7 linked regions of the Macaca fascicularis genome follow. The protein of the gene in region 4 interacts with the protein of the main gene of each other region in a pairwise test. Links are inferred from orthologs where the notes say so. Each region holds a gene or a part of one and is shown on either strand. Other genes may lie near its edges. The genes, in order: DUT, GLUL, RAB3IL1, NUDT18, APIP, EVI5L and HSD17B14.

The links.
Region 1: the proteins of NUDT18 (region 4) and DUT interact in binary tests that used the Homo sapiens proteins (3 or more experiments, as listed by UniProt). The two-hybrid records come from large-scale screens. The link is inferred for Macaca fascicularis from reciprocal best matches to the Homo sapiens genes NUDT18 and DUT.
Region 2: the proteins of NUDT18 (region 4) and GLUL interact in a two-hybrid assay, tested with the Homo sapiens proteins (2 studies listed by BioGRID and IntAct). The two-hybrid records come from large-scale screens. The link is inferred for Macaca fascicularis from reciprocal best matches to the Homo sapiens genes NUDT18 and GLUL.
Region 3: the proteins of NUDT18 (region 4) and RAB3IL1 interact in binary tests that used the Homo sapiens proteins (3 or more experiments, as listed by UniProt). The two-hybrid records come from large-scale screens. The link is inferred for Macaca fascicularis from reciprocal best matches to the Homo sapiens genes NUDT18 and RAB3IL1.
Region 5: the proteins of NUDT18 (region 4) and APIP interact in binary tests that used the Homo sapiens proteins (3 or more experiments, as listed by UniProt). The two-hybrid records come from large-scale screens. The link is inferred for Macaca fascicularis from reciprocal best matches to the Homo sapiens genes NUDT18 and APIP.
Region 6: the proteins of NUDT18 (region 4) and EVI5L interact in binary tests that used the Homo sapiens proteins (3 or more experiments, as listed by UniProt). The two-hybrid records come from large-scale screens. The link is inferred for Macaca fascicularis from reciprocal best matches to the Homo sapiens genes NUDT18 and EVI5L.
Region 7: the proteins of NUDT18 (region 4) and HSD17B14 interact in binary tests that used the Homo sapiens proteins (3 or more experiments, as listed by UniProt). The two-hybrid records come from large-scale screens. The link is inferred for Macaca fascicularis from reciprocal best matches to the Homo sapiens genes NUDT18 and HSD17B14.

The regions. Positions count from the first base shown.
Region 1 is NC_088381.1:24,836,657-24,840,842, reverse strand, and holds the start of DUT (deoxyuridine 5'-triphosphate nucleotidohydrolase, mitochondrial), read right to left. Parts: upstream 2,801-4,186; 5' UTR 2,714-2,800; coding exon 2,434-2,713; exon of another isoform or gene 2,364-2,433; intron 2,031-2,363; exon of another isoform or gene 1,999-2,030; coding exon of another isoform or gene 1,983-1,998; coding exon 1,844-1,982; intron 1-1,843. UniProt on the Homo sapiens protein: Catalyzes the cleavage of 2'-deoxyuridine 5'-triphosphate (dUTP) into 2'-deoxyuridine 5'-monophosphate (dUMP) and inorganic pyrophosphate and through its action efficiently prevents uracil misincorporation into DNA and at the same time provides dUMP, the substrate for de novo thymidylate biosynthesis.
Region 2 is NC_088375.1:39,913,451-39,917,409, forward strand, and holds the start of GLUL (glutamine synthetase), read right to left. Parts: upstream 2,801-3,959; 5' UTR 2,689-2,800; exon of another isoform or gene 1,517-2,688; intron 1-1,516. UniProt on the Homo sapiens protein: Glutamine synthetase that catalyzes the ATP-dependent conversion of glutamate and ammonia to glutamine.
Region 3 is NC_088388.1:12,063,295-12,067,414, forward strand, and holds the start of RAB3IL1 (guanine nucleotide exchange factor for Rab-3A), read left to right. Parts: upstream 1-1,320; 5' UTR 1,321-1,412; coding exon 1,413-1,564; intron 1,565-4,120. UniProt on the Homo sapiens protein: Guanine nucleotide exchange factor (GEF) which may activate RAB3A, a GTPase that regulates synaptic vesicle exocytosis. Promotes the exchange of GDP to GTP, converting inactive GDP-bound Rab proteins into their active GTP-bound form.
Region 4 is NC_088382.1:25,179,324-25,183,337, reverse strand, and holds NUDT18 (8-oxo-dGDP phosphatase NUDT18), read left to right. Parts: upstream 1-1,214; 5' UTR 1,215-1,336; coding exon 1,337-1,498; intron 1,499-2,284; coding exon 2,285-2,498; intron 2,499-2,733; coding exon 2,734-3,329; 3' UTR 3,330-3,751; downstream 3,752-4,014. UniProt on the Homo sapiens protein: Mediates the hydrolysis of oxidized nucleoside diphosphate derivatives. Hydrolyzes 8-oxo-7,8-dihydroguanine (8-oxo-Gua)-containing deoxyribo- and ribonucleoside diphosphates to the monophosphates. Hydrolyzes 8-oxo-dGDP and 8-oxo-GDP with the same efficiencies.
Region 5 is NC_088388.1:30,656,806-30,661,041, forward strand, and holds the start of APIP (methylthioribulose-1-phosphate dehydratase), read left to right. Parts: upstream 1-1,436; 5' UTR 1,437-1,535; coding exon of another isoform or gene 1,536-1,579; coding exon 1,580-1,592; intron 1,593-4,236. Other genes in the region: PDHX (pyruvate dehydrogenase protein X component, mitochondrial), read right to left, coding at 1,017-1,176. UniProt on the Homo sapiens protein: Catalyzes the dehydration of methylthioribulose-1-phosphate (MTRu-1-P) into 2,3-diketo-5-methylthiopentyl-1-phosphate (DK-MTP-1-P).
Region 6 is NC_088393.1:8,545,259-8,549,236, forward strand, and holds the start of EVI5L (EVI5-like protein), read left to right. Parts: upstream 1-1,178; 5' UTR 1,179-1,363; intron 1,364-3,978. UniProt on the Homo sapiens protein: Functions as a GTPase-activating protein (GAP) with a broad specificity.
Region 7 is NC_088393.1:56,819,704-56,823,954, reverse strand, and holds the start of HSD17B14 (L-fucose dehydrogenase), read left to right. Parts: upstream 1-1,451; 5' UTR 1,452-1,574; coding exon 1,575-1,662; intron 1,663-2,145; coding exon 2,146-2,184; intron 2,185-3,121; coding exon 3,122-3,204; intron 3,205-4,251. Other genes in the region: PLEKHA4 (pleckstrin homology domain-containing family A member 4), read left to right, coding at 99-211, 606-868. UniProt on the Homo sapiens protein: Catalyzes the NAD(+)-dependent oxidation of L-fucose, yielding L-fucono-1,5-lactone, which rapidly converts spontaneously to L-fucone-1,4-lactone. Can also act on D-arabinose and L-galactose, with lower catalytic efficiency. Does not use NADPH.

The sequences.
Region 1 (4,186 bases), on a different chromosome or scaffold from region 4:
TTATGAAGAAGGTAGAGGTAGTTATTTTATTATTAAAATGACAGCTTTAGATAAAATAATTCTCCGTGAATATTTTTGGTGGTGTGAAGAGATGTCAACATTGTAAATCTTTGCCCCTGAACAAAAGTTTATTGGGAAACTGAGGTACTTATTAGCATGAAAGGGCAGAAAGGCAAACTTTCAAAAGGTGGATGCTTTACTACCATAGTTTGAAAAGGAAAAAAATGAAGAACAAAGAAAAAAGGCCAAATATTACTAATAATACTAGCTATCACTGATTAAGCCTTTACTATGTGCCAGGCACAGTTCTAACTGGTTTACATATATTAACTCATTTTATTCTCACAATCATTTATGTGATTAGGGAATATCTGCAGAAGGAAAGGAGAAAATGGGTGGACAAAATAAGAGGGATAAAGAACTGTGTTGTATCTGTCAGGCGGGGCTTGGTGGTTTGCCAAGCTTAGGTGATGAATTTCCTGGCTGAGGGAGAGAGGTGATCACTGTGAACAGTCCCTGGAGATGGACCTTGTTTAGGAACAGAATTCCTCTAAGATCCACGTAGCAAATGCTGCTACTCTTGCTATTACTGTGGCCCTCTGCTGGGTGGAAATTTAAGAGATTTTACAATGAGCAGAACCAGAAGTTTACTTTGGAGAACTGCATTAAGTCTGGTAAAGCAGTACTATACTTCCCCTTTTTTCGCTGAAATCCCTCTTTAAATAGTTATGGCCTAATTTATTACAGATACATTATTTCCATGTCTATTTCAGTATACAGAAAGTCACCTGAATTTATTATGAGGCTACTTAAGGTATCTTAAATCAAGGACTCCCCTAGGACTCAAAAAAGTGCTCCAAAATATACTTCGGAAAGGTCTAGTCAAACTACATCACTCTTTTATTCATTAAAATTAAGAGACCGTAGTTTTTCCAGCTGCAATTGTCCATACCTACTTTCCTTTTCCTTTCTTTTCTGTTGCTATCATCATGCACTACTTTCTCTTCTCCTGTGCTTAGACCAATAGTTCTCATGTTTGAATTACCTGAGAAACTTTAAAATAAATCCCAATGCTTGGGATTTAGTATAAACTCTCCTTCCCTCTCAGCATTACTTTTCTCCTACCTTAATGGCTCTAAGAACTGGGCACAGTAGTCAAAAGAAAAAAAAAAAAGCCCAAAATTCGGGATAAAAAATGGTATCATCTTCAAGTCTCTGGGGAAATCAATTCAGCTCTTCACAAACTCCCGCCTGCGTAAAAAGTAACACTTATCTAGTCAAGGATTGTTGTGAGGACTAAATACAACAGCATAAGGAAAGTTTTTAGTACAGGTAAAACGTGCTGTAGAGATGAAGTGTGGTAGTATTACAGGCAGCTCTGCCTTTCGTATTCGGATGCCTTCTGAAATTCCGCCCTGGGGCCAGATGAATGTATAGAAAATAACTTTTTAAGGCAGATGCATCTCTGTTCATCCTTCTTAGGTGTTTTCACGCTCACATCTAGGCTCTCACCTTGGCTTTTCCATTGAGCACAGCATCACCCTCAGGCCACTCGAAAGCCACCATGTGCCTTCCTCTCTATCTTCTATTTAGGAAGGGCACAATAAACGTTGCAAAGTAACGCCTTGCTAGACGCCGTATAGTTATTTTACTTATTCTGCAGTCTTTGCCCAAATCTCTATTTAATTTATGCCAAAGATGAAAGCTAAAATTTTCAGTATGAAAAAGGCAGAAATCCTATTTATAGCTAGTGTGTTCCTGTGATCTCTTCGATGACTGTTTCTAGCTGTGGCAGCGGATGGCCGGCCCTTCCCAGCCTCCTCGCCGGGAGGTCCCCGCTCACCTGTACAGGTCGTAGCCCGCGGCCCGCGCGGAGCCCCGGGTGGGGGCCGTGGCGTGATCGGAGAGCCGGGCAAAGCGGAGCTGCATGCCGCCCTCCTCTGCAGGCCGGGGCCGCTTACTGGGTGAAATGGCGGGTGTCTCTTCAGAGCAGGGCATAGCAAAGCCAGAGGGCGAGCGAGGAGAACACCCGAGGAACAAGAGAGCGCACGATGAGTTGCCCCGCACGGCACCCGCCAAAACCGAAATTTCCCGCCAGCTCCGCCCCACCCACCGCCCCCTCCGGGACGAGTCCACACTTCTGGCCGAGAGGGGAGGCGGGATTCACATTTTGGGTTAGAAGCCCTTCTCGGAAAGCAGGTTTGGGATCGGAAACTACTGGGTCCCAGTCATCCATCCACATTCAGCGCATAGGGCCGACGACAGCTTTTGGGGCGTCGCCCTCACACACTAGAAAGCCGCCCCCCCCGCCGGGGACCCTAATGGACTCCCCCCGCGCGCACAGGGGCCGCCCGCCGGCCTACTTCCCCCGCCGCCTCAAGCCGCGGGGCTTTCTTCCGGACGGCCGGGGCCCTTTGCCCGCCGCTCTCCTACCCTGCCCGGGCGCCGGGCATCCCCCCGGCTTAGGAAGCTCGCCCTTCCAGCCCGCGGCCCCGGCTGTACTGGCTCCGCGACAGCCTCGGCTCAGACTGCCAGCGCTGGACAGCGGCCAGGGCGTCCCGTGCTGCGCTGCGCGGCCGAGGGGCGGGCCTGGCCCGGAGAGTCCCGCGGCCTCGGCCCTCTGCCGTGCGCCTCGCGCGTTTTGCATCGCTGAGCGAAGCAGAGACGGAAGGAAATGGTAGCAGAGCGCGGGGCGAGGGCAGAGGAGAGTCATTTCCCCCAGAGTTTGGGCTGGTTGGCTTCTCGGCACCTCCGGACGTGCGCCAGGCTTCCACCCTGAAGACGCGCGCGTCCCGGGAACATGACCTCGGAAGCAGTCGCCGCCGTGCGAGGGGCGTGGAGAGGCGGCGCAGGCCCTAGGGCACCAGGAAGACGGTGCCCTTGGCGTCCTGAGTCTTGCTGCCGCCTCCGGGTGCCTACGCCTCTTGCCCTCGCTCTTCTTGTTTGCTCGGGCCCCCATTTTTCCGCGAGTTCACCAGGCCCGGGCCCTGCTCCTGGGCTGACTTACCTGCGGCGTCACCGCCAGCGGCCATGACTCCCGGGCTCTGAGTTCAGCGGCGCCCTAAGCGCCGGAACCGCATGTGGGTGCCGGTGACAGTTACTGCACCCGGTGCCGCTCCCCAGACTGGGCAAGACACCGCGCCCGATTTCCTTTCAGCACCGAGTGCCAGACGTTGTAGTTTATTCGACCGGAGGCAGGGAGGGCGGTAGTATTCTATCAGGTTTGGGATAACCCAACAGAAACGCAGCGGGAACGCCTTGGCTAGGAGTCGAACAAGGATCCCGGGCCGCAGTGGTATAGTTTACAGTGGGGGATAAAGCAGTCACTTTCTAGATAGTTGTTTTTCTTTTTCTGAGCTGCAAGTATCTCGTTATTTCTCACACATCTGAGAGCTGAATTGAATGGTTTTGAATTTTCAAAGTTAAGCTGTGGGACAGTTTTAGATAAATGACAAGTAGAAGTGTTATTAGAGTATTATTGGGGAAGTTTTACATTCATTGCTGTGCCTTTTCATACAGGCCCCACCTTTTCGGTCTCCTTAACTGGGTCCTCTTCGTTGTTGAAAGTACTTTGCATGAGGCTATGGAATATACACTACCTTCTCTGGACGTTAAATATTAGCTACACCTTGAGGACTCCCAGATTTATGCCTATAGCAACACGATCCGAGCCCTGCAACTTTTCGACCTCATTTTGAGCCAACATTATTTTACTCCCTTATTTTGCTGGAGTACTTTCTCCAGTTATTAAAGTGTTCACATGAGAGACATATTTGATTCCTTGCTCACAAATGACTGCCTTATTGGACTAAAGGCTCAAAGGGATCAGAATACTTAAGCCACAAACTCACAACTATAGTTCTGCCTAATACACTGAATACCCAATCTCTCTTAACAAGCATAATCACCATGAAAAGCATACTCTGAATTACGCCAGTGGCGTAGAAGCACCAGGAGACAAAAGTTCTGTAATTACAGTCCAGAGAAAGGCTTGTTATTTCATTTTAAAGCATCTTTGAGTTTTATGAAGTGAAGAAATAAAAACAGGCCGGACGTGGTGGCTCATGCCTGTAATCCCAGTATTTTGGGAGGCTGAGACTGGCAGATCACTTGAGGTTAGGAGTTTGAGACCAGCCTGGCCAACATGGTAAAACCCCGTCTCTACTAAAACTACAAAAATTACCCA
Region 2 (3,959 bases), on a different chromosome or scaffold from region 4:
GATCACCACCTTTTGAAGCAATTAACACAGATGCCTGCTAAAGAAAAGATCAGGCCCTTGGTAGTAACTCAATGCCTCTTGCATCTCGGAGCTCAAAGGCTTAAGTTCCACAGCTACTGCAGATCCCAGGCTTCCAAGTTGGAACTTACACTTGTGAGGACTGTCTATTCCTTCAGTGTAGCTGAGGTAACACTAAACTATCCAAATACTAATCTATCAGAGGAAACAAACCAAACCAATACACAAATTTACAAAACATAGAACTTCTTCCAATACAAGTAAAATCCAGCCACAGAACAGGCTTGGCTTCCAAGGTTTCTGTTTTTCTCTTTGCCTTTCATCCTAGCTGTGGTCTTAACTGAAACCCACAGCCACTCCCCACCAAAAGAAAACCCACTACACATTTAGATTTGAGGATGAAACAAGGTTACAATATTTTTTTTTTTTAAAGGCTAGCAGTTTCCTACAACAAAAGCTGATTCAAACCAGATTCTAAGGGGCATGCTGCCATACTTTCCATAGGTCTCATGCAAAGTTTCACTTAAGATAGTGAGCAAGAATCACAACATTATGGAATTCCACAAGAAGACTTCAAGTAATTAGGAAATTTCCACTTCGAAATCAAAAAGATCTGGAATTTTAAAAGCCATGAGGCATACTAATAACTGCCAACCACTACCACAAAACCTCTGAAAGAACAGAAATTCTGAAGCCACAACAGCCGAAGAGGAAACGTTCCTCCCTCCGTGGCCCAGGATGGCTAGAAAGGGAACACATTGTTCTCCTCCAACGACTAGGGCAACGTTCTGAAGTACAGTGGCAAAGTTTCTATGGGCAACCGTCCATGTTTGCCCAGCTGAAAACATAACTGCTTCTCCCTCTGACAGCCTCACCACCCTTCCCCTTGGGGAAGACCAACACCCCAATATTGCCTCTAGAAGATTCAGTCGGCCAAATCCTACTTCCCACCTCCGTCCCAGAACCCTTCAGCTCCCGCTAAAAACTACAACCCACCTAGGCGGGCGGATCACCTGAGGTAAGGAGTTCGAGACCAGTCTGGCCAACATGGTGAAACCCAGTCTCTCTTAAAAATACAAAAATTAGCCGGGCCTGGTGGTGCCCGCCTGTAATCCCAGCTACTCGGGAAGCTGACACAGGAGAATCGCCTGAACCCTAGAGGTAGAGGTTGCAGTAAGCCGGGAGCTTGCACCACTGCACTCCAGCCTGGGCGACAGATCGAGACTCTGTCGGTGGGGGAAAAAAAAAGAAAAAAAAGCTACAACCCAATTTCTCAGCTGTCCTCTCCAACCTGTTACACCACCAATATCATGCACACTTTGTCCTAAGCCTGTTTCGGATCTCCTGCTCTTTTCCGTGAGCCAGTTGGATGCCAGCACTCTATCAACTGCTGCTGCCGTGGCGCCAAGTTTATGTGGGGGGAATGGATTCTGAAGCTTTTAGCCGTTTCTGCAGCTCTCACCAACTCCGGGGTCGTCCTCCCTGCCCCCTCACTCACCCCAGCCACAGAAAGTCAAGCGTATTGTTAGGGTTGCCCTCCTTAGCCCTTCTCTTTTTGGAGTGGCGTTCGCGCCTCTCCTCTTTCTCAGACTCGAGCTGGTCCAAGCACCGGAGCTTTCTGGGCGAGGGCGATGTCGAAGGGGACACACAGCGGTCGGCCCGGGGGGTGTCGAAACAGGCCGGTTGGTGGGTTAAGGTCTTAATCTTGACTCGAGATTTCTCCCCGGAGTTCACGGAGTAGGCGACGAAGCCGAAACAGTTGGAGGGCGACCCGGAGGAGTCTGACTTCTCGTCGTCTTCATAATTTTCATTGGTTGCTTTCTTCGTGAACTTGCGGCTGGGGGAGGATCCCCGCTTCCCGCCCCCGAGGGAGTTGTAATTATCCACTTTGAGAGCAGACCCTTCCCACTGAAATGTCCCTAAAGCGGGCGCCCCGCCCCTCGGGCCCCCGTCTGAATCTCAGGGCCTCACGGAGGTGGCCATACCCCACAGCCGAGGGGTTGCGGGGTCCCCGGGGAGGGTGGGGGCGCAGGCCGGAGGGACCGCGCGCTGCTGCTGCCTCCGCCCGGCCCAGCTTCTCCACCGACTGCGCCGAGGCCCGGGCTCTCCATTGTTCGGTCACACTGGAAGGCCCCCGGGACCCCGAGGCGGGAGCCGGCCGCGCAAACAACGCTCACTGTTACACGCCGCAATCGAGGCGTCTCAACGATCGCCAGAACCACGACGACTGCCCCACCACGAGGAAAGCAGCGAGGCGCCCGCGCCAACCAAGCGCCTTGTTTGCGGTCTGCAGGGGACCGCACCGCCACTCCATCCACAGCGCAAATACCACTGTGAGCCCCAGGGCGCGGGCCAGCCCAAAGGCCTCCAGGGGCGGCGCTTGGGCCGCAAGTAGTGAAAAGAAGATCAAAACAACTCACCCCGCCCTTCCCAGAGCCTGGCCAACGACGCGCCCCACCAGCGCCAGCCCCGGAGGGTCCAAGCCATCGGCGGCGGAAGCACGCGGGAGGAGGACTGGAGCCGGACCTCAGGCCCGGGCCAGAGAGGCCGCAGCGTAGGGCTGGGACTGGAGGGGCAGGCGGCCGAAAAAAGAGGCTGGGTGGCGCGCCTCGCGGGGTAGCAGGGGCGGTGCGTGTCGCTTGGGTGCCACCGGGCCGTCCGGGGGCTTACCTGGGCGCCGAGCAAGCGGGCGGGTAAAGGCAGGCCGCGAGAGCGAGGTTAGGAGGAGAGGAGGCCGTAGTGCTGCTCACACGTTTCGCTCTTCTCCCACTCTCGACTCTGCAAGGCCGGTCGCGGCCCCGCACCCTTTATCCGCGGCCGGGGGCCGCCCCCGGTGCCCTGATTGGCTCCCAGCGGCCGGGAGCCCGGGCCGATCAGCTGATGCATTCCCCGGCCCCGCGGCCATTGGGCGAGGAGCCCGGCGGGCGCCGCTGGGGTGGGGGCAAGCGAGCTGGGAAAGAAAGAAAGAGAAAGGGGCGTGGGGGAGGGGCAGGGCGGCGTGGGGGAGGGGAGCGGAGCCGGGAGGGCGGAGGGCGGAGGGCGGAGGGGCGAGCTGCTGCCAGGCCGGGAAGCCTTCGCTCGCCGCCCGCCCGCCCGCTCGCTGGCCCGCCAGGTGCCGCCCGACGGCCCCCAGCCCGGGGCCCCGAGGCTCCCAGCAAAGCGCCCTGGACCTCTGCCCTGCAGTCTTTACGGGCAATAGTTTTACGAGGAGAGCTCCCTGGGGAAATGCGGAACCAGGGAAACCGAATTTAGCCTTTTGTTGCGAGGGAGCCTCCGAACCCCGCTTCCCGCGGGCAGGGGTTAGCTTGAGAGGGAGCGCGGGCCGCGGGACCCGGGGGAACCTTGGGCGGGCCTGGGCTAGCGTGGGTGCCGCTTGGGCCTGGGGACGGGTCCGGGTTCCCAAAGCCTGGAAGAGCCGCCCGCTCCGGCTCTGTTGGCTCTGGGGAAATAAACAGAACTCTGCCATTTCACATTTGAAATCAACGTGCTGTGTCTCTAATTTCACAGAGGATTCTGGAGAGCGGTAGAAACTAAGTCTGGAGACCTGTGTCATACCGCTGGCCAGACCCTAGGCAGGTCTCTCAGGGCCCAAGTTTCCTCATCTGCAAAATAAAGTGGTCATCGAAAACGATCTGTGGAGCCGCCCACTAGATTTGAAATTCTGTGTGCAGACTGCCCCCTGAGCAGCCGAAAGGAAATCGAGGTGTTCACTTGCCCCTTTCGAAGTCCAGGAATTGTCAAGAAATGTCTTAAACGAATTCTCCCTGGTTTTGCTTTATCAAGTGCGGCTTCTTGTTAATCTGGAAAATGGGAATACATACCTCTCCTCTCAGCTTGCCGTGATGGTTGGGAAAATGTGTATGTGAACACAATCTTGAAATGGATGTTTGTCAGCAGATGCACAATAATTATATGTGTACCTAGAGACACAACATAGGTAG
Region 3 (4,120 bases), on a different chromosome or scaffold from region 4:
GGTGTTTGTCATGTGCAGGGCTAACCATGTGTCTGAGGGCTCTAGTGTCTGCAGAGGAAAAAAGTAACCCACAGGGGAGGGCTTCCTAGAGGAGGGGGTATGAACAAAAGAGAAACTTACCAGCAGAGGCAGGATGCAGTGGAGATTGCAGACAGGTGGGATAGTATGTGGAAAGAAGAGGAATGGGCACATCTGGGCAGTGGCAACTGGCCTGGTGTGCTTTGGAGGGTGAGAATCCATTTCATAGTTGGAGAAACTGAGGCACAACGAGGCTAACGTGCTCAAAGGCACACCGTCTGAAAGTGGGGTTGAATCCAGCCTGTCTGACCCTGGGCCTGTGCTCCCAGCTGCTACCACTGAGTTGTTCCTGGGTGGTGGTGGTGAAAAGTTTTAAGGGTAGCGAGACCCCGTCTCTCCAAACAAAAAAAAAAAATTAAAAATTAGCCAAGCATGGTGACACATGCCTGGAGTCCCAGCTGCTCAGGAGGCTGAGGTGGGAGGATGGCTTGAGCCGGGGAGTTTGAGGCTGCCTTCCAGCCTGGGTGACAGAGTGAGACCCTGCCTTGAAAAATTAAAAAAAAAAAAAAAAAAAAGACAAAACTAGGAATCTCAAATTTAAGAAAAAGAATTAAAAAATAATAATAATAACAGTTTTTTGTTTGTTTGTTTGTTTTGTTTTTTGAGATGGAGTTTCGCTCTTGTTGCCTAGGCTGGAATGCAATAGCACAATCTCGGCTCACCGCAACCTCCGCCTCCCAGGTTCAAGCAATTCTCCTGCCTCAGGCTCCCGAGTAGCTGGGATGACAGGCATGCGCCACCATGCCTGGCTAATTTTGTATTTTTAGTAGAGACGGGGTTTCACCATGTTGGTCAGGCTGGTCTTGAACTGCTGACTTCAGGTGATCTGCCCGCCTCGGCCTCCCAAAGTGCTGGGATTACAGGCGTGAGTCTCCGTGCCCGGCCAATAACAAAGTTTTAAGTGGATATTCAGGCTTGTGGTCACAGTCGGGAGGGCCTGTCAGGGCTCCACAGCCAGCTTACGACAGCTATGACAGGGTCAAGGCTGGACAGGCAGTTTCCAACGCCCCAGCCTGTGTGGCGAGGGGACAAGTAGACCATCTGGGAGCCTGGCTGAAACACGGGGCCTCCTCTTGAGGTGTCTCATCTCCCCTGGCCCAGAGCCCAGGAAGGAGGGCCCAGTGTCTTCTGCTGCCTGAGGAGCCACAGGAGTTAATAATTACGGGGTTGAAGGAGATAGCGGCTGTCCTGGGAGGTGGTGCCTCCCTCCCAGGCTGCTGCTCTGAGGAGATAGCAAAGGTTAGTGTGAGGCCCAGCCTAGTGGGGGGAAGAAGGCTCCTGCTACCTCCCTTCCCAGCACCCTCCAGAGGGACCCTCAGTCTGGCCTTCCAAGCATGGACTCTTCTGAGGAGCACGCCAGGTGCCCCGCCCGAGGGACATGCCCCGTGTTCCTGGCCATGAGTGCAGGGACTGTCCGCTACGCCCCATTAGGCCTGTGCCCTGCACTTGAGGGGAGCTTGAGAGAAGAGCCCTGGGGCACAGAAAGGTGAGCTCAGGACCTGCGGCATGGAGGGGAGGGGGAATCTTGGCGAGCTTCAGGGCAGCCGGTGTGAGAAGCTGGGCTCAGAGAGTCCTAGGGAATGGCTCTGACTGTCTTGTCCAATTTGGTGGCTGTAGAGAGGTGGAGACTGAAGCTCAGATAGGGCAAGACACTCGTCCTGGGTCACACAGTGAGCTGAGGTCAGACTTGTAAGTCCAGAATCAGGGCCTGGGTCATCCAGGCTGACTGTCTCCTACTCCTCAGCTGCCTTCAGCCAAGGGTCTGTGGTCAAGGCTGTCAGGCTTGGGATGTAGCAGGCAGAGGGGGATAGAGGGAGGGAGGGTCAGGAGGGCAGTGGCTTGTGGGCAGAGGACACAACTTTTTTTTTTTTTGAGATGGAGTTTCGCTCTTGTTGCCCAGGCTGGAGTGCAATGGTGCGATCTCGGCTTACAGCAACCTCTGCCTCCCGGGTTCAAGCGATTCTCCTGCCTCAGCCTCCTGAGCAGCTGGGATTACAGGCATGCACCACCACGCCCAGCTAATTTTGTATTTTTTAATAGAGACAGGGTTTCTTCATGTTGGTTAGGCTGGTCTCAAACTCCCGACCTCAGGTGATCCGCCTGTCCTGGCCTCCCAAAGTGCTGGGATTACAGACGTGAGCCACCGCGCCTGGCCCAGACACAACTTTTATTTCTCCCTTCCCTGCCACTGGCCAGGAACCTATAGCCTGTGCTCGGGAACCTCTTGCTGCCTGGCTGCACACAGCTGCAGCTGCCAGTGAGCTTCTAGTTTCTGGATGGTCTTTTTGGAAAACTGGTGTAAGAGGACTCAGCCCCACTGCCCCTGGCTGTGTGATATCTGGCAAGTTCCTTAACTTCTCTGAGCCCATCCTTTTTGGCTGAGGAGCAAGTTCAGCTGAGCAGTAGGGTCCTCCCTACTGGGGGAGGCAGTGAGGCCTAGGAGTCCATGGTAGCAGGAAGCATGGATGACAGGCTATTTTTGGTTAGAAATTGAGTGTCGATGCTTTCTGAGTGGTGACCACACACTTGTCCTTCGAGACCTCGCTCAAGGGCCTCCCCAGTCCACCAGCTGTCCCAGGCTGAGGACTCTTCCTCCAGGGACATAGCCCTGAGCTGACGCCTCCTCCACCCACTTTATCTCCCACTGGTCTGGGTTGCCATGACTTACCTCCTCCCGGTGCTTGTGAAGACTTGAGGGCAAGGGCCCTGTGCTGGGTTCCTTTTGTGTCATTTTCTCCTCCTTCTCTAAATAGTGAACAAAACAAGGGCCAGGAAGACAACAGTTGCTCAAGACCTACTGATGAGGGATTCAAGCCAGCAAACACATGTGGACATCTGCTTTGGGTGGGCCAGACCCTGAGCTGGGCTGGGGGCGGGGTGAGGGAACACAGCTCCAAGAAAGAGAGAATCCCTGCCCTCTGGAAGCCATGGCCATGGAAACAACTGCCCTGCTGCGTGATGGCTATGGGACGCCTGGGCTGAATGATTCTAGAAAGTTGGAAGGGATGCTAGGGAGAACTGCCAAGGTTGTTCACTGCACAAAATGCTGGCCAAGGGAGCAAGCAAGGCATAGAATCCAGCCTCGCCTCCACTCTCCAGATTCCCTACCTTGTTGTGCACTATGCCCAGTGGGGAAAGAGCACTGTTGTCTATTTGTACTCTGGACATGGAGGTCTTAGAGAATACCTCCCTCATCCTCCATCCTCCATCATGGAGCCCCAGGAGGGCAGAGCCTATGTCTGCACAGTTTCCTTCTGGGTCACCAGCCCTTGCATGGCCCATAGACTATGCTCAGATGGAGTGGCTGAATGTATGAATGAGTTGAATGAATGAATAAAATGTGTCCTCAAATGAAGATCTGACTAGCTTGAGCCTGGGGCCTGAGTCAGTGGGCCTGGAGGGGTTCAGCACTAGGACCTCTGGTAGCACCTAGAAGGGCAAGTACCTCCCCCCAAGCTCCCAGTCCTCCCCCAGACAGGGAAGGTGGGAGCCATGGTTCCTGGTGGGAGAGAAGAGGGGTTCTGCTCTTACTGGTCCAGTCCCAGGCTGAAGTTGAGAACAATGATCAGGACTCAGAATGGGTGGGACAGAGGAACTGAGGGACAGGTAGACCAGTGGTCTGGGATTCAGGGAAAGGTTTCACGGAGGATGAGGAACCAGACAGGTGTGCGTATGTGTGTGTGTTGGTGGGGGTGGGGTGGGGAATACTATCCAGAGGGCAGATGGTGGGTAAAGGCAGGGATGGGCACAGTGTGTTAAGAGGCAGGAGGCTGGGTGAGGAGAGTTGGACCAGAAGTGGAAACTCCTTCGGGGTAAAACTCAGAGAGTAGGACTCAGAAAACTTGTTTCGGGTTTGTCCCCTCCCCTTCCCAGCAGGCAGGATATTGCACAGGGACAGGCACTAAGCAGATAGACTAGGGAAGGAGTGCCGGTGAGGATGGGGGAGGGTGTCTGCTGGCCTTAAGTGACAATCTGTGTGAGAATCCAAGAGCTGAGAGCCCGGGAGCCATTGTAGGTTCTTGAGCAGGGGTGGCCCAAAGTG
Region 4 (4,014 bases):
GCTCCTCTCCGATTGTCGTGCCTTCCCAACACCCCTGTAAAACAATAATTGTTATGACCCTACTCTACAAATAAGAAAATTGAGGCTCACAGCTCACCCAGGAGCACAGAGCAAGCCAGCCAGCAGCGGCTGGCCATCTGGCTCCAGGTCCTGAGCTTTGTCCACACCATCAAGCAGGGAGGCACACAAAACCAGCCGAGGGAGAAGAAAGGGGTGGCCTCTGCCGGGTGAGAAGCCAGACGGCCTGCTTCGCAGATCCCTTCCAGCTGGCCTTGCCTTCCAGTTCTGAGGGGCGGGTGAAGGAGGAAAGGCAGAGCTGGGAGAGGAGCAGGCTCTCGCCACAACAACCCCCACCCTGCTCTCCACGCGCCAGGTCCTGCACGCTAGGTGGGAGGGTGACGACAAGGATGGAGGAGCAGGGCCCCACCCCCGCCCTCCCCGGGCGCACCATCTGCAGCGGAGAGGGCCTTGAGCTGCGTGGGAAATGCGGTGGGCAGAGGGACACTGATGAGGACGGGCCGGCTGACGGCAGCCCTCTCTCAGCCCCCGACTCTTCCCGCCATCCCCAGCCCTTCCCTTCCATCCTCCCAGCGCCTGTCACTCTTCCTGCCCAAACCAAGCATTTAGCACTTAGTCTCGAACCCTCAGCTGACTCCTCATCTAGGACTCCGTCTCTCTCTCCAACTACAACAGAATCTCCTTAAAGGCAGGGGTTTATGTCCCCCTCCCCACAGGCCACGTGACATTTATTACTCTTGAATGGAGTGAGAAGAAAGTTACTTGGGAGATGATCAACTCCGGCAATGCCATCGTGTGTTCACGGCAACAGCGGGGCAGTGGGTCCAAGGGGCGGCCCCGGGCCTCCGTAACGTCACCGGGCTTGTCGCGTCATAGTCGCCTACCCCTGCGGCGCAACGCGCCCTGCAGGAAGGATGACGTCACGGTCGGAGCTCCCGCAGACCAGTGCGCGCTCGGGGAGTAGGCGAGTCGGGGGCGGCTGGGAGACGTCCTGAGCGCGCGGGACTGACAGGCGGCAGAACCCGGGCGGGGTCCTCCAGAGCTGGCCCGGCGCCCACCCAGTTGCCCGGCGGCCCCGGGTGGCCCCGCCCCTTCGGAGACTGCCGCGGGCCGGCCAATCCGGGCAGGCTGCGGCGCCGCGCAGCCTATCAGCGGCCAGGGCTCGCGTGCGCTTCCGCGTTCGCGTGCGCTTCCGCGTTCTCGTGCGGGACCGGCCTGCTGCCGCAGGGACTGGGAGAGGGCGCAGGAGCCCACGCTCGCCCGCGGCTCGGCTCAGCCAGTCTGCGAGTACTCAGGCCGCCGCCCCCCGGGGGACCCGATGGCCTCGGAGGGCCTGACGGGAGCGCTGGCTGCCGTGCTGGCGGGCCAGGGGCCGAGCGTGCAGAGCTGCGACTCGGCGCCGGCCGGGGAGCCGCCGGTGCCCGTGCGGCTGCGGAAGAACGTGTGCTACGTGGTGCTGGCCGTGTTCCTCAGCGAGCAGGTGAGCGGCCGCCCGCCGGGCCCGCCGGGCCTCGGGAGCGCGCAGCCAGCCCAGGTGGGGACAGAAGACCCAACGGCCACAGCCAGCGCTGCCGCGTGCGTGGCGCTCCCCAGTTTTGCAAAGCACTCCCACTCCCACTCGCATCTGTGTCCTGCGTTCGTCCCGATATGCATTAGAGGAAACTGAGGCCCGGGACCTGTTTGTCTCATCCCACTAGGGCTCATTCCTTCCCTTCCCCAGAGTCTAGCGGAATGCCCAGGGTCCCCCGGGTAGCAGTGGCTCAATCCGTGTTTACCCTTAGGCCTTTGGTGCTGATCCCTGTAGTAGGCGATGTAATGACAACTAGAAGGGGCCAGGGCCATAGGGCAGGGTTGTACAGAGTGGAGGTGGGGGGTCGTGTTTCAAAGCCAGATCCCAGTGTGAGGACCCATCACAGTTTGTAAACCACGCCGTTGGAGGCGAGAGATACACAGTGACATGTACAGACGCAAATCAGTGCAAGACACATGGTGACCCTCACTCTGGGGCCTCATCTCCAGCCCCTGAAGCAGCTTCCACGAATCTCAGCCCTTCCTGAAATGGAAGTCTTCCTAAATCCAGAGAGGGACGAATTGCAGGGAGGAGAGGGCTGCAGCCCCCAGCTACACGAGGGCAGGTCTACTGGAGCGCTAGCCGGATTGAGGGTGTCCACCCAGAGGGGAGTCTCGGGCGACTGTGTTTGAGGTGTCCCCTGGTCCCCGGGGAGGGAAGGCTGTGGCAGGAAGTGAGGATCCTCTGTCCCCTCAGGATGAGGTGCTACTGATCCAGGAGGCCAAGAGGGAGTGCCGGGGGTCGTGGTACCTGCCTGCGGGGAGAATGGAGCCGGGGGAGACCATCGTGGAGGCGCTGCAGCGGGAGGTGAAGGAGGAGGCGGGGCTGCACTGTGAGCCCGAGACACTGCTGTCCGTGGAGGAGCGGGGCCCCTCCTGGGTCCGCTTCGTGTTCCTCGCTCACCCCACAGGTATGGCCCACCTGGAGGCAGTGTGAACAGGGCCAGTTGACACCTTTCCCCCAGCTCCTCGGTGAAGTGAGCCCCTCCACAGCCAGTCCTGTTATGACTGGCACAGCCTGGCATGGGCAGATTCCAGCCTTTGGGCTGGGGGCCTCTCTTCTGGGTCAGGGATGTCTGGTGACTGCCACACCTGCACTCCTCTCCACACAGCCTGTCCCTGCCCCATCCCCCACATTTCCCCCAGGTGGAATTCTCAAGACTTCCAAGGAGGCCGATGCAGAGTCCCTGCAGGCTGCCTGGTACCCACGGAGCTCCCTGCCCACTCCGCTGCGAGCCCATGACATCCTGCACCTGGTTGAGCTAGCTGCCCAGTATCGCCAGCAAGCCAGGCACCCTCTCATTCTGCCGCAAGAGCTACCCTGTGATCTGGTCTGCCAGCGGCTTGTGGTCACCTTTACCAGCACCCAGACAGTGTGGGTGCTGGTGGGCACAGTGGGGATGCCTCACTTGCCTGTCACTGCCTGTGGCCTCGACCCTGTGGAGCAGAGGGGTGGCATGAAGATGGCCATCCTGCGGCTGCTGCAGGAGTGTCTGACCCTGCACCACTTGGTGGTGGAGATCAAGGGGTTGCTTGGACTGCAGCACCTGGGCCGAGATCACAGTGATGGTATCTGTCTGAATGTGCTGGTGACTGTGGCTTTTCGGAGCCCAGGGATCCAGGATGAACCCCCAAAGATTCGGGGTGAGAACTTCTTTTGGTGGAAGGTGACTGAGGAAGACCTGCAAAGCCAGCTCCTCAAGCGGCTTCAGGGATCCTCTGTTGTCCCAGTGAACAGATAGGGAGGTGGAGGAGGTGACAAGGAGCTAGGCAGCCATGCTCCCTCCAGTGCAGACATGTCTCTCTCTGAGGGAGGCAAGAAGCTGGCGATCAGGGATCTTGTTGCATTGGGAGCAGGGGCGGCTCTCCTGGTTCCCGGGAGAGATGCTTTGAGGAGCATTCCTCTACATTGCACAAGGGACAGTGCCTTTAACCAAGCAAGGAGTCCAAAGCTCAGGACCTCACAACCCTGAGGGCACACTGACACCTCTCCCCAGGGGGATGGGGAGCTTTCTGTACCACCAGTGGCATCTCCTCCTCATGCTCTGTGCCCTCCTTGGGAAAGGCCTGCATCCTGATCCTTCCAGGCTCTTGGAGCCTGGAGGGGCACTGGGGAAGGTGTCCTGAGGGAGGAGCCCCTTGCTGAGTAAAGAGGTGTTACTTACCTTGCCTCCCTGCCTAAACGTTTCTGTGGGGAGCAAGTGTTGGGGACTGCTGTCCAAGAGCTGCTGTTCCCATCGTGTTACCCACAGCTGCCCATGCCTTTCCCAGTGCACTGACAGTGTGGGCCAGTCTGCTGTCCAGCATGGCCCCCGGGGCTCCTTCCAGCTGGCCTGCTGGCCCGGGATGTGACTCGGAGGGGACCCATCCCTAATGAAACACAGCTCTGAGTCCTCCAAGGGTTGGGCAGCGGGTGGCCCCAGAGGA
Region 5 (4,236 bases), on a different chromosome or scaffold from region 4:
CACACACTGTTAAAGCACCTCTGCTCCAAGGAATATGTTATGAAACATTACACCAAAAAAACTGAAATAAATTGTTCCCATTACGGAATCTTTAGGAACCCCAATACACTCATCTTACTATATGGCTTTGTGTGATTTTTTTTTTTCCTGGGCCTCAGGTAGCTCAGAATACGAAGGCAATGTCTATTAGACCTATTTAAATTAAAATTCATTCTGTAGAGTGCCAGGAACGATGACTGGCAGGCAATACGTCAGATTAAAAAACGTCAGTCCTATTCTCCATCCCTGCTTCCCTCCAACCCTCTCCCCAAATAAGGAAAAATAATACCCAGCCTGCCATTTTGCATACTGTTAAATACTGCAAGAATTGTGTTAACCGTATCAATATCATTACTAAACGACAATTTTCTATAATAAACTTTTTGGTATGATTTATCTCCTAAATGTTCGCTCTTTCAAGCGAATATTTGCTTGAAACATTCTCCTGGACCTTTGTCTGTGATGCCGTAGGAATTTACAAATTTAAGTCTTCCACGAGTCATGGCGTGGGGTAAAACTCGACTGGCCTCAATGAAAACACCTCCCAACAGAGAGGCCTAGAGAATGAGTAAGAACTCCCAACAGTGGCTTTTCAATCTCGGCAACCTTGGGCAGCTTTTTCTCGTCCGAGACGTTTGACAACCCTAAAGAAACCTGAGCCTTGACTGGAAAGGGGGCTGAGGGAGGAGAGTTTAGGAACCCTCTCCGCGCCTCACAAATAACCCAAATTCCAAGGCAAAGTCACAAAGTCATACAAACCAGGAGGCCTAGGGTAGGGTCTAATTCTCCCAGCTGCCAAGAAAGCCCTCCACAGCATGCATTAGGCCGAGTCGGCGGACCCCACCCAGAGAAAGAGGGAAAGGAATAGGGAGGCCGCGCACCTCAACACCCAGACGCAGGTCCTCAATCAAGACTGCCCCTGTCCCAGGCCCATCACTCAGCTACACAGAGAAGCTGAGCGAGCCCCGGCCACTCACCCCGAAGCCACTGCGTGCTGTGAAACCATCTCCAATTAGCTCCGCGGCTTACAGACCACCCAAGAGCCCCCTTCACCAGTCCTATGCTTCGGCAGCCAGGGAAGCCCACAAGATAACGCAGTAGCCGCGGATCACAGCCTAGCCTCCAGGAGGCCGCCATCTTCACGGCCTTCTCACCGGCTGCCCGCAGCACAGCCTGATGTCCAGCATCAAGGCCCCGCCTCCCACATGGTTGGCCACACCCCCAGACGATCGAGGTGCCTTTAGGTCTCTCAGACTTGAAGCCCTCCTAGTCCCGCCTCCAACCACGTTGGCCACGCCTCCCGGGCAGTCAGGTGCGCTGCTGGATAGCCCAGCCGGAGGGGCCTTACCAGACCCCGCCCACCCTGTTCGCCCCGCCCCCGGGCTGCCCTCAGCGCCGCCTGATTGCATTTGCGGCCTTGCTGCCTCAACCTAGGCTGAGCGCCGCGAGTAAAGTGGTGCGGAGATTGGAGGCCGCGTGGGTCCCTGGTCTAGGCCATGTCTGGCTGTGACGCTCGGGAGGGAGACTGTTGTTCCCGGAGATGCGGCGCGCAGGTAGGGGCGGGGTCACCGGTACCGGTTATTCCCAGGAGTAGAGGCCCAGACGGAACCTGGCGGCGGGAGCTGGGCGCGGGGTCGCGGGCCGGGCGTTTGGCTGCGGGGCGGGGCTTCGGGCCGGGCAGTTTGCGACCCTGGAGCACCGCGGCCTTCGCGTTGGGAAGCAAGGCTGCGGCCCCAGGCGATCAGTGGTCCCGGGCGGGGCGCTCCGACGACGGGAGCTGGGCGCCAAACATTGGAAAGAAGCAAATAACGCAGAGAGAATAGCGTTTGGGTGACCTCAGCGGGTATTTATCAGGAAGACAGGCCAGAGAAGGAATCGTGAAGCTCCGAAGTGGAGCTGGGGCGAAGACCGCGCTCCCCGAGCTTCTTTTCTGCGCCCTGACCAGTTAGGCGTTTGGGGAGACTTTTGGCACTCGGGAGACATTTGCCGAACCGGAGCTGTGCCTCGGCTGCCAGCGCTTTGCCTTTGAACAGTTGCTCCTTGCCTATCTCCCTTTAGATGAATTGTGGGATGATCATGGGAACGATTCTTCCTTAAGCCGAAGTCAAAGGGAAATCCACCCTCACTCTGCATGTAGTTTTCGGTCATTTACACAAACCAACAGTTTTATGGAGCACCTTCTCCGCGCTCAGAGATGGCGGTACATAAGACAAATGGCCCAGGGTCTGGAGAACTAGACGAATAAGCAGTTTCAGCACAATATGATAAACCCCACCTAAGAGGCAGGGAAACCCCTCAAAATTAGCTCCCTTATTCCCCCTATCTTATTCCTCCCATGTATATCTTTCTTAGGGTTGAAAATCCTAATTAAAAAGTAGTAACTAGCAGGAGATTTCATTGCTAAGTATTTGTCAACCGCTGTCTTGTTTGAATAAGTGACTTCCCCAAATTAGCGAAGACTACTCTGAAAATAGAATGGTGGATAGGCAAGGTTGGATGGGAGAGAGAAGATCTTGGAGATAGGACAGATAATTGGAGATCGTTCCTAGGCAGGTGTGTATGGAGAAGTGTTCATGCCCTCAATCAGTAAATCTTAGTGTAATGTGAGCATCAAAGAGAGCCTTAAGGGACCCCAGAATAAACTAGGATTCTCATACCAAACATGGCCCACAGACAGCTTGATGGACAGGCATGTTTCATTTGCCTAACTCAATGTTCATGAAAAATTTGAGCTAACGTTTCTTTTTTTTCGACACGGAGTTTTGCTCTTGTTGCCCAGGCTGGAGTGCAATGGCATGATCTCGGCTCACTGCAACTTCTGCCTCCTGGGTTCAAGCGATTCTTCTGCCTCAGCCTCCCAAGTAGCTGGGATTACAGGCGCATGTCACCACGCCCAGTTAATTTTTGTATTTTTAGTAGAGATGGGGTTGCACCATGTTGGCCGGGCTGGTGTCCAACTCCTTACCTCAGGTGATCCACCCACCTTAGCTGCCCAAAGTGCTGGGATTACAAGTGTAAGCCACCATGCCCGGCCAAGTCAACATTTCAAAATCCAGAAGCATTTCAGCTTCTTTTAAAACCTCAGAACATATGGTGACATCGGGCCCTTATTTTTTCCTGGGATCTGGATTGTGGTTGCTAGTGAACACCGCCTTTACCGAGGGTGCTGGCCAGGTTACCACAGCTTCCACTGCTCACACTGGATTTGAATATCCAGTTAAATACATGAGCCCCTCTAGATATTTGTGTCTGTCTGGTTTTGTACAAATACATAAAAACAGCAATAAGAAAAGTTTTAAGAAGTCATAAAATTTCATTGTAGTTTTAGCGGGTCATGGGCAATTGAAAGAGACAGTCTCTTTGGCCTTAAGGAAGGGGAACATTCAACTGTAAGTGATTAGTTCAACAAATATTTAGTGAGTGCCTACTATGTGCCAGGCATTGTGGATTTAAGAGTGCAAGCTGCATCTGGTTCCTTCTCCCCTAGAACATGCTGTATAGTGGCAGAGACAAATTAGCAAAGAGACAAGGATGGTATGACAATATGACATAGTATGACATATGACAATATGACTTAGATGGGAAAGTTCAAGGTAGTTTAGGAGTATACACTTGACTGGGTTAGAGAATACCTCAGGAAAAAGTGAAAGTATCTACTGAGGCCTAAAGGATCAGGAAGACATAACCACATGCAATGAAAGTAAAGATATTCCACGTAGGGGAAGTAGCATGTACACAATCTCAGGATTGTCCCTGATTATGGACATGGTGTGTTCCCATATTAAGTTTGGTGTTCTGGAACATAAAGTAGGGGCCAGAGACTTGAGAAGAGATGAAGCTAAAGAGAAAAGCTACTGAGAGGTGAAGCCAGCTGGGTTTCTGGGTTGACTGGGGACTTGGAGAACTTTTCTGTCTAGCTAAAGGATTGTAAATGCAACAATCAGCACTCTGCGTCTAGCTAAAGGTTTGTAAACGCACCAATCAGCTCTCTGTAAAATGGACCAATCAGCAGGATGTGGGTGGGGCCAAATAAGGGAATAAAAGCTCGCCTTGCTGCAACTGGTTAGGGTCACCTTCCATGCCATGGAAGCTTTGTTCTTTCGCTTTTCACAATAAGTATTGCTGCTCCTCACTCTTTGGGTCCGCACTACCTTTATGAGCTGTAACACTCACTGTGAAGGTCTGCAGCTTCACTCC
Region 6 (3,978 bases), on a different chromosome or scaffold from region 4:
CCCTCTCTGCTGTGACAAGGTCCTTCCCTGCCCCACCCCCTCCAGGGCCCATCCCTGCATTTTGGGGAGGAAATAAGTCCATTTTGCTCAGTCTTTCCCGCTGTCAGTAACTGTCCCTACGTATTCCTCTCTAGCTTGAGGGATTCTCCACCCCTCCCTTCTCTGTTAAAAGAATCACGAGCCCATTCATTTATTCATTCATCAAACGTTTATAAGGAGTTCCTACGCTGGGGACCCGGAAGATACCCGACCTAGGCCCCGCATCCCGACTGCCCGAGGATCTATCAGTCTGGGAGGATGGGGGATGGGAGGGCCTATCCCTCCCCATGATCACTGCGCTATCCGAGCTTTGATGGAGGAACACGCGGCGCTGTGAGCTTCAGAGAAGACACTTAACCTAGCCTAGAGTAAGACAGGGGGCGGGCCTGAATCTTTTATGGGACCCCCCAATCCCAACCACCCCCTCCCCAGCACAGAACTGGGCTCCTTGAGGATACGGTGCCTTCACGTCCCTCTTAGTAGTCAGGATTTCTGGCCACGCCCCTTCTCAGACCCAACCCCCGAGCCCCTCCCTTGCGTGACCCCGCCCCATCTCTGGCCTAGGCCACGCCCTTCTCTTAGCCCCACCCCCATTTCATTCAACCCAGGCCTCAAGTCCCACCGCCCAGGACGCCCACCAATCTCACATACCCATTGGTCAGAGAGTGTCACTTTCCCGCCCTCCTTCAGTAATATTGGTTCCCTAGGTGTCAATCTTTATAGCGCCCCCAACAGTTGCCAGGGCCCAGGTTTGGGGGCCAGATAATAATGGACGTCTTGGGACGTCTCGTTATTGGGCAGAAACCCCGGCTCTGGGCGGGGCTTAGCGCCAAACGCTTGGCCGCGTCTGCCTGATGTTCCTGAGGGCCGCAGCCTTTCCTCAGAGACACACCCCTCTTTCCTTGCTATTGGTCTCATCAGGTGTTGATCAACAGGATTTCTCATTCCGATACGTAAAGCTCCCTGTCCTTCATCGCTTCCCTCATTTCAATTCGCTCTCTCCTCAGAGGCGGCAACCTTCTGAACGTAGCCAGGGCCCGCCTCACGGAGTGGTCACAGATTGGTCAGACGCCCCGTCACTCCTGGCTGGTGGGCGGAGCCAGAGCGCCTAGGGGCGGCGAATTGGCGGATGGGGCCTCGGGGGCGGGGCAGCGGCTCCTGTCAGCGGGTGAAATGGCAGCGGCGGAGCCGGCGGCGGCCGCGGTCCCGGGGGGCGGCTGAGGGGGCCGGGCCGGGGCTGCGGGGCGAACGGCGCGGCTGGGATCCGGCGGCGCAGCCCGGGGCGGCGAGGCTCGGCACGGCGATGGCGGCGCGCTCGGCGCAGGTAGGGCGGCGCGGGCCGGGCCTCCCCGGCGCCTGCTCAGACCGGCGGCTCCGCGATGCGGCCCCCGGGGAACCGGCAGGACCGCGACTTGGGCCGTCGTGCCCCGAAACCCGCGCTGGGAGCCTCGGCATCCCCAGCCCGGGACCCTTGGGGGACCCTGGACCCTGCCCACCCTCGTTGCCGATCCCTCCGGACCCCTCCCCGGGAGCTCCTGCGTGATCCCCCTCCCCCACTCCGTCCCCTCCCCGTGAGGACCCCGCAGGCCCAGGACCCCCGTCCACCCTTTGCAGTGACCCTCAGGACTCCTTTCCGGGAACCCCCTCAGGGCTCCCCATCCCCCCACTCCGCCGATCAGCCCCGCACAAGCCCCCCCAAGCCCAAGAACCCCAGTCCACCTTCTGCCCTGATCTCTCAGGACCCCTCCCTTCTGGACAACACTTGCCACCCCCTCCCCGCACCCCCTCACTTCACGTCCTCCTATCTTGGGCCCAGAACTGCCCCCACCTCTTCCCAGGGAGACCAGCCTCAGGGCCCTACCCGCCTCCCATACTGACCCCACAGGACCCCTCTCTGGCTTCTGTAAATCGGATTTCCTACCCCTGCCCACAGCCCTCAGCTCAGCCTGCAAGCCCATCTCCCACCCCAGCTGCCCCATGCCCAAGGGCACCCCTAAATCACTCCCGGGCGTCCACCCAGCACACTCTGGTAGCTCCACTGATCCTGCCCCATCTGGATCCTGGCTTCCTGAAAAATCCGCCCGTGCTCAAGACCTCCCGATGGATATTCTGAACCACCCCACTCCCCATCCAGAGCCACCCATCTTTCTGAAAACCCCAAATACACACACGCGCGCACTCACACACACACGCACACAGTGGGTCACTTAGATCCCCCAGCACACACAGAAAAACTTAAGAGCTCCAAGACAGACCCCCGGCCTGTCTGCCCCTGTCCCCACCCACTCAACACTTCTGCACTCCCCCTCAGATCCCACCTGTCCAGGCCCTCCCAGAGCCCCCGACAGCTCCCCCAGCTCAAGCAGAGACTCCAGAGACCAAGAGGTGCCTGCCGCACCCTGGGAAGCCAATCTGCCCCCCCACCAACCAAGCCAGCGCCCATACTGGGGCCCTGGAGGGTGACGGCCCCAGAATCCCCCAGCACCTGCCCCTGTGGGAACCTGTCCCAGGCCTCTGCCAAGTTATCCATCCTTCCCTGCTGTGCCCTTTCAAAAGGAAGGGCGCTCACTTTCTCTCCTACACTAGTGTCCCACAGGAACCACTGCCCGCCCCCTGATTTATGCCACCCCCTGGCGGGAAGGAAGGGATTCCAACAGCTCCTGGCTTTGGTCCTGAAGTCTGCCCCCAGTCTCCTGACCCCATCACGCCTCCTGGCCTCAAATGGCAGAGCCAGCAGTGCAGTCCAGGTTGCTCCTCAGAGCTGGCCCCTGACAGCCCGAGTGAGTTCTCTCACCCACAACCACTGTGTTTGGCCAAAACAGAACGGCTTCTTTCTATCCCAGTATTTGAGACCCGGGTTGGGGCCTGCCAGAAGCAGGCAGCTCTTTGTTAAGGAAGCTTTTCAGAAGGGAAAAGTGTGCTGAAGAGGCTGGGGTGGAACACGAATGAGTTGTCTGCTTCGTTTTATTCCCCCTCAGCCGGGCTGTGATTGAGCTAGAGGACCCGTGTCCCTGTGTCTTTCTATCTTATGTGGCTCTTCCCCTCCGTCCCACTGCCCTCCCCACTCCCATCTCTGGCCTCAGGGTCCAACCTGTAGGTTCCCCTGGGTTTCTGTGGTCAGCGGCAGGTGGTTTGGAAGGGATCGCAGGTGGCTTGGCCCCGGCACAGGGATGAGACGAGACAGGAGAGGAGACGCTGGCGCGACACCGTGGCCAGGACTGCAGGGGGCGAGGAGGAGCCGGGCCAGTCCAGCCTCACGCAGCCTGGGCACCGTGCGTCTGGGGTCCTTCTGACAATATAACCGTGCTTGGAAACCCTTAGATAAAAAGCCCAAGCTTCCTTGTGGATATTCACTAGCGGATTATGGACCACCCCGAGAAAGAGCTCATGCGGCTCAGTGCCTCAACTTCCCCATCCGGAAACTGGGGTGCCGGGAGAGCGGCTCAATTTTTAGAACAGAACTTGGAACTGCAGGGAGGCTAGGGTGTGGCCCTGTGTGTTCCCTGAGTGCTATGTGGAAGGGGACAATAAGGTCTCAGAGGGGAGTCCTGTGGGCTCCTGTGAATCACTGGCCACCCAGGTCCCTGCTGGGGTCTTCGTTGACACCTCGCTGGATAGTGGCCATCTTCCTAAGGCTGAACTGTATTGCAGGGAGCCAGCTCGAATCAGAGCTGGTAGAATGAAGACGAGAGACGGTCTGTTGCGGGATTTGTGGTTATACACAGGGTCTTCCCAGGAGGACCACGGGGAACGGGGTGGGCATGAGGGGCTGTCGGATAGCCATGCTGAGGCCCCACGTAGACCTCTGACGCCGGGTAGGAAGACGTTTGTTCTGTCCGCTTGTTGAAGGAAGGCGTGGAGGAAAAGACTCTTGAAGGTCACGTGGTATCTCTCACGCACAGGAAACTAAACTCTATACAGCCTCCCCAGGGGGGAATT
Region 7 (4,251 bases), on a different chromosome or scaffold from region 4:
AGTAGGTCTTATTCATCCTTTTCTTTTTGTACCAATTAACCCTCCCCACCTCTCCCCCATGTACACACCCCACCCCCAATCTTCTTTTTTTTTTCTAGTCCAAGGAACACCACCCCTTACTTGCCGACTTCCGAAGGTCACCGGGAGCGGGTTCTCAGCCTCTCCCAAGCCCTGGCTACTGAGGCGTCGCAGTGGCACAGAATGATGACAGGTGACTGGCTGGGGATGTTGAACTTCTGGGTTTTAGGGAGGAGAAAGCTGGAGACCTGGAATCCCAGGTCCTGGAGAGGAGGGGTCTAGGGGCCGGTGGGAATTTTTTATGTTGGCGAGGAAAGAGTTGGGCAGAGTTTGGGAGTTTTAGGTCTCAGGCAAGAGTGGACTGGGTTCCGGGACACTTGGGAGGAGGGGAGGAAGAGGTCAGGGGGCGGGGAGAGGACCGACATCTGAGTCTGAAAGAGGTCTGGACTGGGGTGTCCAGACTCCTGGGTCTGAGGGAGGAGGGGCTGGGGGCCTGGACTCTTGGGTCTGAGGGAGGAGGGGCCTGGGAACCCGGAGTCCTGCTGCTGAAGTTTGCCATTCTTATGTCTCCCACTCATCCTCTCTAGGTGGAAATTTGGACTCCCGGGGAGACCCTCTTCCCCGTGTGCCGCTGCCTCCTTCGGACCCCACGCGCCAGGAGACCCCTCCCCCAAGATCTTCCCCGGTGGCTAATTCGGGTTCCACAGGGTTCTCTCGCCGAGGGAGTGGGCGTGGAGGAAGTCCCGCCCCCTGGGGGCCCACGTGGGATGCCGGGATCGCCCCTCCGGTCCTGCCCCAAGACGAGGGGGCGTGGCCTCTGCGAGTCACTCTGCTACAGTCCAGCTTCTAACCCGCCCAAACGTGGCAGCCAATCGGAGCGTGAGCACGTGGTCTGGAGGTACCGCCGGAGATCTGGGACCACTCAGGGCATCAGGGGCGTGGTCTGGTCCCCATCGCCCGTCCGGGAGGGAAATGGTTTCTATGGCCAAAGTTTGATTTTCTCAACACTGTCTAAATTTGGATTAAAACTTTGAACTTTTAGTCAATAGCTTTGTTTCTGTCTGTTTGGGGTTGTTGCACTGGGGTCTCTGAGGGGCAGAGCCGGAGTCGTGCACTCCTGGGTCCTGAGAGAGGAAGGGACAGGGTGCTTGGACTTACAGGTCTCTGGGAGGAAGGGATAGAGAATCTGATCCCTCAGTCTGAGAGTGGAGGGGCCTGGGTCAGGATTCCCGGGTCTGAGGGAGGAGGGGTTGGGACCCTGACTCCTGGGTCTGAGGGAGGAGGGGCTGGGAGGCTGGACTCCTGGGTCTGAGGGAGGAGGGACTGGGGCTCCTGGATTCCTGTGTCTGTGGGAGGAGAGGAGTGTCTGAGGGAGGAGGGGCTGGGGACAAACTTCCAGGTCCCTAGCCTTCCTGGCAACGCCCCCCGAGGCTGGACTTCCACGATCCAGCTTCTATTGAGGATTTGATGCGACGGCCTCACGTGGCTTTGGAGGTGAAAAAGGCCCAGAGTAGAGACACAGAGAGAGAGAGAGAGAGAGAGACCGGTGGACACGGATGGCTACGGGAACGCGCTATGCCGGGAAGGTGGTGGTTGTGACCGGGGGCGGGCGCGGCATCGGAGCTGGGATCGTGCGCGCCTTCGGTGAGCCGGGTCTGACTGCTGGGAGCTGTGGAGCGTGAGAGAGGAAGGATGGGGGCGGGGCGATGGGGGCGGAAAATAGGGTCTCCAATACTGCAGCCGGGATTCTGATCTTATAAAAGCCAATTTGCAGGCTAAAGTAAGCGTGTGGCGCGGTAGGCTAGGGCTGTCTGGCAGGGTCTCCGAAGGCAGTGGCCCCTTTCTCTGGGTCTGTTGGTATAGCTGCAAAACCAGTGGTTTGGGGAATGGCCCTGTCAGTTGTGGAGTTTGCTCTGGAACCCACGAACGGGGGATCAGGAGCCTCAGCAGAAACCTGGGCAGGCAAGGAGAGTATGTGTCAAGGCCTCTGCCCTCTGTCCTGTGGGTGATCATGAGACTGGGGTCACGAGGGGAGACGGAGATCGGCCCCAATCCAGGTGGCCACAAGAGGGCGGCAGAGGCTTTAACCAAGACTCGGAGGGTAACGTGTTGCCTTCCTATTCTCAGTGGACAGCGGGGCCCAAGTGGTTATCTGCGACAAGGATGGTGAGTGAGGGTCCCTCAGCCCTCAGCCCTCACCCTGGTCCTTCCTCCCTCAGTCCAGGGGTCCAGGAGCCCCAGCCCCTCCTCCCTCAGTCCAGGGGTCCAGGAGTCCCAGCCCCTCCTCCCTCAGACTCAGGAGTCCAGACCCCCAGCCCTCCTCCCTCAGACCCAGGAGTCCAGACCCCCAGCCCCTCCTCCCTCAGACCCAGGAGTCCAGACCCCCAGCCCCTCCTCCCTCAGACCTAGGAGTCCAGGAGCCCCAGCCCCTCCTCCCTCAGACCCAGGAGTCCAGACCCCTGTCCCTCCCCCCTCAGACCCAGGAGTCCAGATCCCCAGCCCCTCCTCCCTCAGACCCAGGAGTCCAGGACACCAGGCCCTCCTCCCTCAGACCCAGGAGTCCAGACCCCCGGCCCCTCCTCCCTCAGACCCAGGAGTCCAGACCCCTGTCCCTCCTCCCTCAGACCCAGGAGTCCAGACCCCCGGCCCCTCCTCCCTCAGACCCAGGAGTCCAGACCCCTCCTCCTCCCTCAGACCCAGGAGTCCAGGCCCCCAGCCCCTCCTCCCTCAGACCTAGCAGTCCAGGCCCCCAGCACCTCCTCCCTCAGACCCAGGAGTCCAGGCCCCAGCACCTCCTCCCTTGGACCTAGGAATCCAGGGCCCCAGCCCCTCCTACCTTGGACCCAGGAGTCCAGATCCCTGTCCCTCCTCCCTCAGACCCAGGAGTCCAGGCCCCCAGCCCCTCCTCCCTCAGACCCAGGAGTCCAGGCCCCCAGCCCCTGCTCTCTCAGACCCAGGAGTCCAGGCCCCCAGCCCCTGCTCTCTCAGACCCAGGAGTCCAGGCCCCCAGCCCCTCCTCCCTCAGACCCAGGAATCTGCAGGCCCCCAGACCCTCCTCCCTCAGGCCCAGGGCTCCAGGCTCCCAGCTCTTTTCTGCCTGCAGAGTCTGGGGGCCGGGCCCTGGAGCAGGAGCTCCCTGGAACTGTCTTTATCCTCTGTGATGTGACTCAGGAAGATGATATGAAGGTGAGCCGAGTTCCCATTCCTACCCCCATCTCCGCTAATGACCAGTTCTTTGTTCTCCTCCAGCCATTTGCATGTGCCTTTCCCTCTACTTTTCCTTCCTCTCCTGGCTCCACTGGACCCGTCAAAGGTTTCCAACCAGTGTCACTCCACACACAAGATCTTCTGTGACTGACGAGCAGGTCACATGTTCCTTCTCTCCCACCTCTCCAAGGCTCTTAGCACATCTGACACGTGGGTGGAAAGGAATAAGTCCCTCAAAGTGGGTCAACTGTAACTGATTTTTCTGTCTCTTTTTTGGAGGTGTCACTGTCACTGAGGCTGGAGTGCAGTGGCGTGATGTTGGTTCACTGCAACCTCTGCCTCCCAGGTTCAAGCCACTCTCCTACCTCAGCCTCCTGAGTAGCTGGGATTACAGGCGTGTGCCACCATGCCCAGCTAATTTTTTTTTTTTTTTTTTTTTTTTGAGACGGAGTTTTGCTCTTGTTGCCCAGGCTGGAGTGCAATGATGCGATCTCGGCTCACCGCAACCTCCGCCTCCCGGGTTCAAGTGTTTCTCCTCTCTCAGCCTCCTGAGTAGCTGGGATTACAGGCATGCTCCACCACACCTGGCTAATTTTGTATTTTTAGTTGAGATGGTGTTTTTCTGTGTTGGTCAGGGTGGTGTTGAACTCCCGACCTCAGGTGATCCGCCTGCCTTGGCCTCCCAAAGTGCTGGGATTACAAGCATGAGCCACCGCACCCGGCTAATTTTTGTATTTTTAGTAGAAACGGGGTTTCACTATGTTGGCCAGGCTGGTCTCGAACTCCTGACCTCGCGTGATCCACCCACCTCAGCCTCCCAAAATGTTGGGATTACAGGTGTGAGTCACTGCACGTGGCCTGTAACTGATTTTTTTCTCCATTATTTCTGGGTTCCTCTTTCTTCCTTTTAATCAGTATCTCTCTGTTATCTGCCCCCCTTTAGTAACTGTCCCCTATACTCTCTCTGAATCCTTGTCACCCCCATGCCCCACCCCCTAACCCTGGGTGCAGTGTGGCTCTGACCAG